Saccharomyces cerevisiae S288C: one gene and its partners. Changing the gene in region 3 together with the main gene of any one other region gives a genetic interaction. Each region holds a gene or a part of one and is shown on either strand. Other genes may lie near its edges.

Evidence for each region.
Region 1: mutations in YLR012C (region 3) and YOL029C together harm fitness more than expected from each alone (negative genetic interaction), as found in Saccharomyces cerevisiae (one large-scale study listed by BioGRID).
Region 2: mutations in YLR012C (region 3) and URA10 together harm fitness more than expected from each alone (negative genetic interaction), as found in Saccharomyces cerevisiae (one large-scale study listed by BioGRID).
Region 4: mutations in YLR012C (region 3) and AAT1 together harm fitness more than expected from each alone (negative genetic interaction), as found in Saccharomyces cerevisiae (one large-scale study listed by BioGRID).

The regions. Positions count from the first base shown.
Region 1 is NC_001147.6:269,315-272,340, forward strand, and holds YOL029C (uncharacterized protein), read right to left. Parts: upstream 1,107-3,026; coding exon 501-1,106; downstream 1-500. Other genes in the region: GAS5 (1,3-beta-glucanosyltransferase), read left to right, coding at 1-327; YAP7 (Yap7p), read right to left, coding at 1,319-2,056; ribosome-binding protein MDM38, read right to left, coding at 2,689-3,026.
Region 2 is NC_001145.3:806,365-809,484, forward strand, and holds URA10 (orotate phosphoribosyltransferase URA10), read right to left. Parts: upstream 1,185-3,120; coding exon 501-1,184; downstream 1-500. Other genes in the region: RRN9 (Rrn9p), read right to left, coding at 1-59. UniProt on the Saccharomyces cerevisiae protein: Catalyzes the transfer of a ribosyl phosphate group from 5-phosphoribose 1-diphosphate to orotate, leading to the formation of orotidine monophosphate (OMP).
Region 3 is NC_001144.5:169,482-172,240, forward strand, and holds YLR012C (uncharacterized protein), read right to left. Parts: upstream 801-2,759; coding exon 501-800; downstream 1-500. Other genes in the region: LOT6 (flavin-dependent quinone reductase), read left to right, coding at 1-197; GAT3 (Gat3p), read left to right, coding at 1,858-2,283.
Region 4 is NC_001143.9:235,749-239,391, reverse strand, and holds AAT1 (aspartate transaminase AAT1), read right to left. Parts: upstream 1,857-3,643; coding exon 501-1,856; downstream 1-500. Other genes in the region: SEG2 (Seg2p), read left to right, coding at 1-207; YKL106C-A (uncharacterized protein), read left to right, coding at 2,126-2,245; YKL107W (putative short-chain dehydrogenase/reductase), read right to left, coding at 2,322-3,251; SLD2 (Sld2p), read right to left, coding at 3,605-3,643. UniProt on the Saccharomyces cerevisiae protein: Plays a key role in amino acid metabolism. Important for metabolite exchange between mitochondria and cytosol.

The DNA of each region.
Region 1 (3,026 bases), on a different chromosome or scaffold from region 3:
GCAGGTTCTCCTATGGGAACCGGAATCGCCACCCAACAAAGTTGTGATGCTAAGGACGATGACGACGAAGAAGACGACGACACCTCCTCTTCATCCTCTTCTTCCTCTTCATCTTCATCTTCCGCTTCTTCATCTTCTGAATCATCATCCTCGACTTCAAAGGCATCTTCCTCCTCCCCTTCTGCTAGCGAAACGAGCTTGCTAAAATCTGCCGCATCTGCTACTTCGTCCAGCCAATCGTCCTCGAAATCAAAGGGTGCTGCCGGAATTATTGAGATTCCTTTGATATTCCGTGCTTTGGCAGAACTTTATAACTTGGTTTTATGAGTTTTCACCCCCGTTCTTTACCACATTGTTTCTAATTATTCCGTTAGCGCCGCTTACTTTTAATGTTCTTAAGATAAAAAAACATCATTAATATTATTATTAAAAAATTCATATATATACCTATATCTATATGCACTATTTATGCTTCCACTTTTCTTTTCTTTCTAAATACATCATTCCAAGACGTTTTTGTCCATCTTATGTAATGCATCCTTGATGCTTTGCAATTCTACTTTCTGTCCACGAACGTGCAATCCAGATGCAATGTTCTCTAACGCTGATGAGATCGAAGTTGAATCCTCAGGATTTAGTTGTTCTTGGATACTTTTATTTTTTTGCATATGTTGACGGATTTTTTGATATGTGTAACTGATCGGCAGATACCTCTTTGCATCGGAAGCCGCATTCATTTGTGCATTCTTGCAGGAACATATTTCGGGTAGCTTGATTGAATTGTAATTTACGTCAGTTTGTTGTTCATTTAGATCCGGTGACAACGCACTGTTGGAAGAGAAAGAGCTTGAACTACATTTATTCGAAAGTGATTGACAAAAATTCCTACTATGGGGGTCTGATCTACATTGCTTGCAGCTTCCAGGTATCCATGACCCATCCTCTTTAGTGATCGGTCTATTCTCGCTATCGTAGATTTCTTTGTCTCCACAGCATTTCGATATTGATTTCTTAGCATCGGATTCTATTTTCTTTTCTGAACAGCAAACGGGGACTAAGGATGGCATTATGTTATTCTTTTGGTTGCAACATGTTACTGGTTTCATGGCATCTTTATTCCTACAACATTTTATTTTTTTGTTGCCACTGCCTGCACATGCATTGATACTGCTGCTGCATGAAGACAGAGGTGAATTAATATGGCCATCAAGCGATGAATTCGTTGAACTAAACTGTCTGCCGCTCAGATATTGATAATCGTTGGCTATATCAATCTCAGACAAAGACTGGTCTGTTAATACCGCGGGCACATGAGATGTTAACAATGGGCCTTCAGCTTTCCTTTTTTTAAACTGACAGCGCCGATTGGTTTAAAGTTTTCTACCATTTCTAATATCGAAATAGGATTGTCTGGCGGGTTTTCTGGCTGCTGTTGAAATGGAGTATTAACAATCAAAGGCAAGGCTTTTTGCAATTCGTTGTTTAATGCTATTGATTTTTGCAAGTTTTCCTTTGTATCGGAAAACTCAGATTCCAGCAGTTTATATTTCCTTTGCCAATCATCGACCAAATTGTGTAGCATCTCAACCTTCTCTTCCAGAACCTGGATTCTTGTTGTTCTGCGTTCCCTATATGCTCTTTGCGCATCTCTATTTTGCCTCCTTCGCTTTTCCACGCTATCGACACCGTTTTCATCACCACTTCCGTTGCCTTCATCATCAGATTTCCCCTCATGACCTTTTGCGCCTTCGTTCTCATGATCTTTTGTGGTCATTTGGTCTTTCTGGTTGGAAGTTTGAACCTTCTTTATCTTGGACGATCCATCATTATTAGCTGATGCATCCCCGCGCTTGGATTTCGGTTTGCGGCCCGGTTTTAGGCGCTGTGGTAACTCCCAATTCTTGGATAACTTAATAGCTGACGGTCCTGATGTACTCACATTTCCATCTGGTGAGGATGGAGGTGGAGACGTCGTAGACATGGAACCCTGTTTATGCCCCAATTTGAAGCCTTTGGGCTTTACGCTAACTGCTACTACAGACCTTCGTTGTCTCATGATCCATTGAAAGTGTGCGTAAATGACAAAATTTTGTGCCTTTCTATATTCTTTAATTGATGATTTACTTCCTTGATAACGGCTCAACAAACGAAGAGCAATTTTCAAATTTCAAAAGAAAAAACCGTTGAAACTGTTCTTGAGCAACTTTCAAGCCTCTTATGATGATGTGCTACAGATTGAAGTACAGGTGAAAAGAGGAATAACCAATAGCCTTGTTTGCTTTCTACGGTGGGGCAGCGGATTTTCTCTTTTATGCTTATGCTTCTTCTTCCATATATTACTAATTTTTCTCGAGCGAGCAGCTTTACTGCGTGCATTACCGATGAAAAAAATCGCCGATATATGAAAATCCAGCTCATAAGATGCTGATTAAGGAGTCATGAGTGAAAGGACCCTCGTGGCCATCACAAAAAAGACACTTTGCTCCTGTATAAAAAAAAAAATAAGGCGGTAGTTTAGATAGGGTGTCTATTATATACATGCATAATAATTTAGTTTTGAAGGGTCGCTGGTTTTGCCGTGACGTACGCTTCTCTTTGATCTTTTGCCATTGTTGTCAGAGAAAAGAGAACCGATTGACTTTTTTTTTTTAGTTTTTTTTAGTTTTTTTCTTAGGCTTTGATCTAATATCAATCTTTCTTAATGACAAAAGTCTTCGCAGCTTGATCGGCCGGAATGGGAGGTACAGATTTTGCTTCTTCCTCTTCATCTAGGTTGATATCATCTGGCACATGCTCTCTCGAAGCTCTTTGCTTAGCTTCCTCTTCCTCCTTCTTTATTAGTTCTTCTTGCTCCTTCAAAACGTTCAATTTGAACTCGTTATCGTCGGATGTCTTCTTTTCTTCAGCTTCCGTGGCTTCCGCAGAGTCGGTAGGCTCTGCGTTCTCTTTTTCCTGAGATATTTCCTCTGTCTTCGCTGTTTCTGCCTTTTCATTAACTACGACTAGTTTAGGAGTAACCGCAGAAG
Region 2 (3,120 bases), on a different chromosome or scaffold from region 3:
TCTTCGATAGGAGCATCGATCTGAGTTTCAATTTGACTTTCTTCGTCAAGATCACTCATCAAAACCCCACGTAATGTTTGTTCTCAAATATATTTCGTCGTCCCGAAATCAGCACAGTTTTATAATGCAACTGTTAAATGTCTAGAGAGAAAAAACCGCCGACACATCAATATTTTCACCCTTTATGGCTAAACTTGAGTGTGATTCTTGCATCTGAGTAATCTTCAAACACGAAAGGCCTTTTTGTTTATTTTGTAGAAGAAAAATATTTTAGTGAAAAATTATGGAAAGTAGTAGAAATCCTCTCAAGTGAAGCATGACAAAAAGAAAAGTAAGAAACCTTAAAAGACACTAATAGTTGATGAATTACTATGCGAGAACTCACGTAACTCCAACAATAAAAAGCTATTTACGTATACTGATTAAAAAAGAATACAAGAAAAATTTATTCTTTCCTATACAAACAATGATAATCAAATGGTCCATGTCAGTTCTATAGTTCATATACCATAGGCCTTACGGTAGTTTTCAATCGCTGATTTTTGCTCTGGTGATAGTCTATTTCCCATAAATTGTACCACTTGAGTCAGTGATACAATACTTAGCACAGGAACGTTGTATCTCTTTGAAACAGATTGGGTAGCACTTGTTCTTTCCGGATCAGATTCATGAATCACTTCTTGCCTATCTAAAGCAACAATACAACCCACTACCCTACCTTGAGCAATACTGATTATCTCAAATGCTTCATTGATTGCAGTTCCTGCAGTCATGACATCGTCGATAATCAACACCCTCTTGTCTTCAAGCGATGCTCCAACAATAATACCACCTTCGCCGTGGTCTTTAACTTTCTTTCTATTAAAAGCATATTGAATACCTTGAAATTTAGTGCCCCCGATTTCTGCTAGTTTAACGCATACAATAGCAGCCAAAGGGATCCCTTTGTAAGCAGGTCCGAAAATAACATCGAATTTAAGCTCCGATTGAATGATAGCAGTTGCATACGCGGTGGCAAGGTTTGCCAACAGCTTTCCAGAATTGAACAAACTAAGATTGAAAAAATATGGCGACTGCCTGCCTGAATTCAGCTTGAATGACCCAAATCTTAGTGCTTTGCATTCTAATCCCAGTTCAAGGAAAGTTTTTTGATATTCCTCTAAACTTGTAGTAGATGCAGACATTATTGGATTATGTTTTATTATTCTTGATGGCTCTAGGTCTCGACTATTTTGCGTGACACTTCCTTAGTTCTTAATCTATATAAAAGAGCCTGTGATGGCCTTTTACCCTAGATTAGGAAGCGAAGGGGCCTTTCCCGAAAGGTTATGTATGACTCCCTTGAAATGCATATGATAATTAAAACCAAAAAATGTTATGTGATTCTGAAAGGAAATGCTGTCATGTGAGTCAGGTGTAGAGCAGGTTAGAACAGTTTATATTACATAGTCTGAAAGGCACGTGAGAAAGTGCCATACCATTAGCCGAATACGTGAAATGTCTAAAAAAATACAAGTGAAAGAATAAAGTGCTAAAAAAACTATCAGGCTCTCAGAAGGCAATTTAGCCATATGTATACATATATATGTGTGTGTATAAACCTCATATAAGGGGCCCCAATGGTTTATCTAAAGGATATCCTATTAGGACTTGTCTGTCACACGCAAAACTTCAAATGACATAATGATGAGCACTTGTCAAATAATTGAGTAACTTCTTCGATATCTCTGGTATGTAAAAATAAGTATATCGAGATGAGCGATTGTATCTGTATAGAGGTTGGTTTCTTTTTCTTACCTTTCTCTTTTTATTTTTTTCTCGCATTGGTTCAAAAAAAAAAAATGATGGTTTAAATTTCGTAAAATACGAAAAATGAAGGGAAGGTCCCACCCGGATTCGAACTGGGGTTGTTCGGATCAGAACCGAAAGTGATAACCACTACACTATAGGACCTTTTTCTTCTGTTGTTAGTGTACACTAAAACTTCCGGTTTTATGGAACCTTTTTAAGAAAGATGGTCCCTATTTTAACAATATCGCAAGCAATGGATCTTGTACTGGTACGGAAAACCGTATATACTAACAAATCTTAGGTTTCTACGTCTGACTAAAGAAAGAATTGTGAGTGAGGTTTATAGTAGAAGCTCTCCTCATGACTTTGGGCTATGTAAATTGTTGATAATTAGAGGTAAAAAATAGTATTAATGAAGAAATAATTACTGATCTTCTTATACTAAATAAGAGAGGTATATAAAACACACGCCGATTGGTCATATTAATCATGACCAATATAATAGTGATTCCGGTAGTTACTATACATTTATGTGACGACTCATATTCCTCATATATGTACCTACCATAACATGTTCAACTAATAGGTCTTTAACACAGCTTCAGTATTGTCTGAGCTTCTCGTTTAACATTCCTTCTGCAATAGGTGCAATCACACTTAAACGTATACGAGGTGTACATTAATATACGATGTAAGCATTAGATTGTTACCATAGCAACTCATGTCACTATTAATTACTCTCGTTCCAACATAAATGCAATTGATGATTTGCGCAACGCAGATACAGATTTTACTTTATTCTTCGTGCCTAAAATGGACCATCGTTTCACTTACTAGCCGTTGTTTACTAAGATATAGTTGTATACGGTGTGGAGGATGATAAGATCATTGGACCAATATAACTATATAAATGTCGGCACCAGTTTAATGGAACCTCGAATGCAATTACTGATAACGGAATGGATTAAGAAATGATTAGGTATGAGGTACTCTTATAGTATGTAGAATTTCTGATTTGCTTATGTGTTCATTTATTCTCGAGAAGAACCCTTAGTATATTCTGTGTCCTAATATTACAAAAAGTCAATGAGAGTCTAGGGACTATCAGATAACTTCACTGTGCTCATCTTGATTCCTGTTCTAACGACAGTAACACAGGATACGGTTAGTATTTTTTTGCCAACCTGATCTGTGAAAGAAAAATGTACCTGTCAATTCGGTTCTTTTTTGAGGCCGCTTTTTCGTATAGTCGTCATCGATTGGATATTCGTTTAAGAAATAACGTGCTTGTTCATCGATTTCATCTATGATTCCATTCCATGTGTATGT
Region 3 (2,759 bases):
ATGGCGGTAGTAAGTGTAATGACCAACTTCAAGAGGTACTACATGGTTTGAAGATGAATGTTATAGGTGGAGTGGCGGTGAAAATACCGGTAGGTACGATACCGTTACCCGAGGACATTGTACCACAACTCAGCGTGCACAATGAAGAGATCCTGCAATTACTCGCATCGTGCATCGAAACAACGAGGAATAAATAAACCATAAAATTTAACTGTAGTCGCAATAAAAGATGAAAAGCTAACACAATTATCATAGGACACTGTAATCCAGACTTTAATTAGTATTAAGTATTGAGTACAAAGTACAAAGTATTATACTAACGGTAGTTTGGGCTCTTCGATTACCCATACACTTTTAATGGACTAATTTCATCAAGTTTCATTCGAAAATTTTCTTAAAATATATATATGCGTAGTGGTATAGTATTCATATTTCATGAACTTATTTCATAAAAAAAGATAAAGCAAACCTAATATTTGGATCGGCGCTCGAAATTATTCTCAGTATTCTTCAGCATTAGACATCTTTAACATATCAATCTTTAAAAGGTTTCTTCTTCTTCTGTAGCTCGGAATATAAGCATTCATATATGACCATGTTGTAACGCGATCGAACCAAGCAACTTCTTCTTGTGCAAATTTCCTAGCAATACCAGGCACACCTCCTTGACGATCAAATGCAATTCTTTCAGTCTCTTGTTCAAAATCTTTTTGACATAAAGCCAGGTATTTTTCCTGTTGTTCAGGTTGCAGTTGAAGATACTGCTGGTAGGTGATTTCTTTGTAATAGACAGTCTTCATTTGAATATGTTCGAGACTTTTTCTCTTAATCTCTATGAATATTTTCTGTCTTGAAGCTGCCGTCTTCATAGAATGTTGTTCTATTATCCACCTCGAACATGGCCTTTTTATACGTTTTTACATTAAACATCCCCTTCATATTAGTTTGTTCTCGACTTAATTCTACTCATGCTTCTGACATTTTTTCATGCCAAGACCGGCCCTGAAAAAGGGTCCGGATATACGGATAGCGCCACACATTCAATTAGGGGAAGTATTATTTGATACATTGTCAGCACACAGCGATTTAACCCATTATTTGGCATGACAAGCAAGCTATTCGACAGTGAAAAATGCACAGAACATTCAAAATTATACTTATAATATGACTCTTTTCTTTTATTGCAGTTGGTATTATATACATATATATATATATATATATATGTATATGTTCCCCGAGACAATGGTTTTATTTCCAAAAAAAGTGTAAGTAAGTTATTTTCTGTGTATAAAAAAATAAAAGAAGCCAGATGAAGTGCCAGGTGGCGTACCAGGACTTCAGCTTTCTTTAGTTTGCATAATGAAAGTATCACTTACAGCTCCCTTGAAGGATTAGACGCTATTAACCCCGATGAAAACGCATCAACAAAACCTTTAACACAGTACTTATTTGGTGCAATACATACTCACACAAACACCTGTAGAAAATCCCCTTATATGAAAATCCCTTTTTTTTCTTGGCAAGTATTTCTGATAAAATGCGGACAACATTACCTGCTTAGCCGCCTGCCACAGAAAATAAGTAGGCTTCTCTGTAAAATGGAATAATAGGCTAGAGGTCAAAAACCTCCTCTTCAGTCATATCTATGTTTTTAAGGGTCTAGGGTCCAATTTGATGGAAAAGAACAAATGGTCGAGCATGTTAATTAATATTTGTTGCTCTGTTTGAAGAGTATATTATAAGACGAGAGGTTCTTTGAGGGAGCTTATCTTACCTTTTCTTGATTTGAAACAATTTCATTAAATGTAAACAATTATCAACTAGAAGCAAATATAAAGCCAGAAGGAAGAATTTGCTATGAACATTAAGACTTTGTGTCATCCAGAATATAAAAGAATCTCCGTTGAATCGTTATTGAATCCGGTAGAGGAGACAATAGACTGCGAAAAACCTCACTCTCAAACAAAAATCAATACTGCTAAACCCATTAGTGCATCTTTGTATGTCACAACGAATAATACTGCTGTTGTTCAGCACAATGTCCAAAAGAGGAAAGGCGTCACCAGGAGATGTCCACAGTGTGCGGTGATAAAAACTTCTCCGCAATGGAGAGAGGGTCCTGATGGAGAGGTGACATTGTGTAATGCCTGTGGATTATTTTATAGAAAAATATTTTTGGTTTTTGGCAAGGATCTGGCAAAACGGTACTTTAACGAAATAAAAGGTGTGAGCGTCAAACGAAAAGTTCCAAAGAGCCTCTATGGAGTTACAAGAACGCGTTAAGAGAATTTATTTCTGCTCGGAATGTTATATACTTATGTCAAAGCAGTGATTATACATTTATCGACTTTAAACAGTTGATAACGAACATTATGTGTTATTCGAAAGTCAAAGTGCCATACAAAACAAGTGGTTTCTCAGTTCTTGCAATTTTTCTTTATCAGCGTAGTCCCAGAAAAAAAAATCATCACTGGAAATGTAAGATGAATTCAAGTATCAAGTGCCGTTGGTATTATAGTTTATCAATTAATACGTAAATATATATATATATATATATATATATATATATGACTATAGTGGCATACTTCTCAATGGACTGTTGCTTCTATCATTTTATACATGCGTTCAACTTTGAAGATTATCACAAAAACCTCAAACTTTTCAATTAATCTGCCCCGGTCATTTAAGTTAGCTCTTTTAGGACTCTCATGTTTTCAAAAAATAGATTGAAAAGAGCATTGGTGGCCCTACTTTCAATC
Region 4 (3,643 bases), on a different chromosome or scaffold from region 3:
ATATCTGGTGGAACAGCCACTTTGGAGTCATCAAATCCTGACCTGCCTACAGCCTTACCATTAAGCGTTCCGGTGACTATCATTGATAAAAATGGAGAGATACACAAGCTTCATAACGATGATGCAGCTATAAAAGATAAGTCGCATGACCGTCACGGTCACAGTAAATTCGGTAGGAAACTGAAAAAAATTTTTGGCAGGAAATGATTTGAAAGAAGAAAACATAGGAAACCTAAAATGAAATGTAAGGATATGATGCACTGCCACCGTAATTAAAATAGTTGGCTAGCGCTAGCTTTCTTTTCATTTAAAATTTAATAACTAGTTCGATCACGAATTAATCCAATCTAGTTATCTGAAAAGTGTATATAGAGTAGATAAAAAAAAGGTTTATTAATTATTACAAAAAATTATTATATTCTATAAATTATTGTGTGGCAAAATGAGAAGGGAAAAGTAATAAAAAAATAAAGACAAAGGTGAACTGTAAGGTGAAAAAATTATGCGAGTTTGTCCATTTTCGAGACTGCTTCAAGAGATTCACATAAGTAATCAACGTTCGAATCATTGACTCCGCTAAGCGACAATCTACCATCACCTGTTAAATAGACGAAGTAATTGTTTCTCAATATTTCGACTTGCTTTGGACTAAACCTTGTATAGTAAAACATACCGTGCTGTTGTGCGAAATTTACAAGATCCGGCCACCCTAGACGGTCAAACATCTCCTGTCTGACGTGATGCAATCTCTGAACCATGAAATCAACATCCTTGAACCATTGCTGTTTCAATTTGAAATCTGATAATACTACATTTACCACACGAGAACCGTATCCTGGTGGAGAAGAATACATACCTCTGACAATCTTTTTTAATTGGGAGTCAATATTTTGCTGCAATGAGTTTTTCTGTTGTAGAGGGTTGAACTTTCCATTGTTCGCAGTTGCCGGCGTGATAACGCTTAAGGAACCAACTCGTTCACCATAAAGGCCCATGTTCTTGGCAAAAGATTGACAAAGAAAGATACCGTTACTCCAATTTGGATATTTATTTACATTGAGACATAGCCTCAATAAATATGCGTCCTTTAGTAAGTTACCAGACTCTAAACCCTGATAAGCCATATCAACAATGGGTACCATTTTTAGCTCATATATAGTATCTATAATCTTTTCCCATTGCTCTTTAGTTGGGTCGAGACCTGTAGGGTTGTGACAACACGCATGCAAGATTATGCAAGGTGGGTTCTTATTGTTTTCTTGCTGGTTGTTATATGCAAAGGTTTTCAATTGCTCAATCCATCCGTCGATGTCTATCTGACCGTCCTTATAATAGGAATACCGGTAAATATTTTCAAAACCATTGTTCTGAAAAATGTTCTTATGATTTGCCCATGATGGGTCAGGTATCCAAATATCTCTTGAAATAAATAATGCCAAGAATTTAGCTGCTACAGCTAGGGCGCCTGTACCACTCAAAGTCTGAACAAAGCTGATTCTATCATGGGCTAAATAAAATGGCCCAAACTGCGGACATGATTCCTTGAACAAAAATTTCATAACGTTTTCCTGAAATTCTTTGGAACCTGTTATTGGTAAATATGAAAGATTCTTATTCAACTCTAAATGAGATTCAATCAATTTTTGAGCTTTTGCAACGGAGGGAAACGTCGTCACTTTGCCCCAACCATCTTTATATATTCCTACGGTCAGGTCAATTTTGTTAACATTTTTTACCTTTTTGAAGTGTTCAGATAACCCCAAGACTTTATCTGGAGGTGCTCTTGGTACTCTACTAAGCGATGACGTGTAGTAGGGCCTCCATAGACTGCAATTAGTAAGCCTCGTCCTCAACATCAAGTCTTTCGGCAGTGAAAAACGGATAGTAATTTTCAAATGAGAAGGGAAAACGCACTCAATAGTATGCTATCGTTCAATCCGCTATCGTCTATTCTGTATTTTTTTTTTCTTTTCAATTGCGACGGTTAGCAATTAGATAACCAAGACAGAGAGAGCGAATACTTGCTAGCAATTTATATACGTAAGCGAAAAATGTAAAAAAAAATATGAAAAATGCGGCATCCTAAATATTGGAGCAAAGCAGAATAGTGCTTCCATACTCCAAGATGCCATTTCCGTCGATATTACATCTGACAATAGGAAGATATGCGAGCTATGACTCCAACAATCACATGAGACGGCGTGCAAAACTCATGGAAGCCATCTTCCGCATCCGAACAATATGAATCATCGACGATGGTCGCATGCAAACGCCCTTTAAAAAGTGAAATATTTAAATATAAACCAATTAGTTACAGCAAGTCATTCGTTACTGGAAGTGAAAGGACTTTGATTACGCAAGGCCTTTTCAACTAGAAGTTCCGAATTTTCCATAAACTTCTCAACAACATCTTTGGTCAAACCAGGCGAAGGTAAAATAGCATCGCCTTTGTTGCTGAACATTGTACCACTGCGTGATTCGATAGCGGGGCTCGCAATCAGGGTGCATATTGTTTTCGCATACGTCTCTGCGCTTTGACAGGTCCAGCTGATTATCCATTCTGTAATGCGGCTGAGGTAGGTGTCACTGCCAAGAAGATTATTACGAATGTTCGTTTTGATCAGCCCAGGGTTCAAACCGAAAGTATCTATATTCGTGTATCTGTCTTTAGCGTCTATGACCAGACTTTCATTGGCTGCCACAGTGTTCATATGTGTAGCGTAGGCACTATACTTCTTTTCATCAGAATTCAAGTCATCTGGGTCTCCCACCTGACCATTTCCTGGAAACCCTGCTATGAAAACTTTTGGCAAATCGTCTTTTTTTGTCCTACTAATTCCTAATCGCTTCGCCACATCATGGAAGATAATGTATCTACTCAAATAGCTCACTGCCATGTCTTTTTCCAAACCCTCACTTGTAGCTTGTCTCTGGCGTGATGCAAAAATACCCGTAGTGAAAATCAGATGTGTTAACTCCTCGTAGGGAATTTCATCACTATGAGATATACGCTTGCATTCTGACACTAAACTTAAATCAGCCTTGACAAAGTTAATTTTATCTTTTAGGTCCTCGTCCCTAAAAGTTTGCCCGACAACAGTAACCCTGGCATTTCTTTGGGCCAGCTCTCTACTTATTGCACGTCCAAGTCCACCTGTGCCACCAATTATGGCCACATTAAAACGACTAAAATCAATGTCATTGATATTTTTTCTTTCCCAACTGACGGTGGGATCCTTTTTCCAGAACATCCTGCTAAATGCGCCAATATACTATTATTAGTTTTTCCTTGATACGTGGTAATATTCTGTTTGTTGGTTCACCTTTTCATTCACTTGAATTGTTTTAAATTTTGTATTTATACCTCTGCCGATTATTCCTCCCCTAATTGATGATTGCAGATTATGTAATATATATACATATATGGACGAGGCCCCTAATTGAACAACAAAAATAAAAAGTGTAAAAACATGCTAGTCTCTATATTGATAAAAATACGTATGATGTCCATATAAACTATACGTCATGCAGCTGAAGGAATCTAACTGAATACTTAATAGGTTTCTATAAATTACAAATGTTTGTATTATTTACGCCATCACGCTCACCTTCTTCCCCATCGTCCATTAGAGAATCGGTTTTT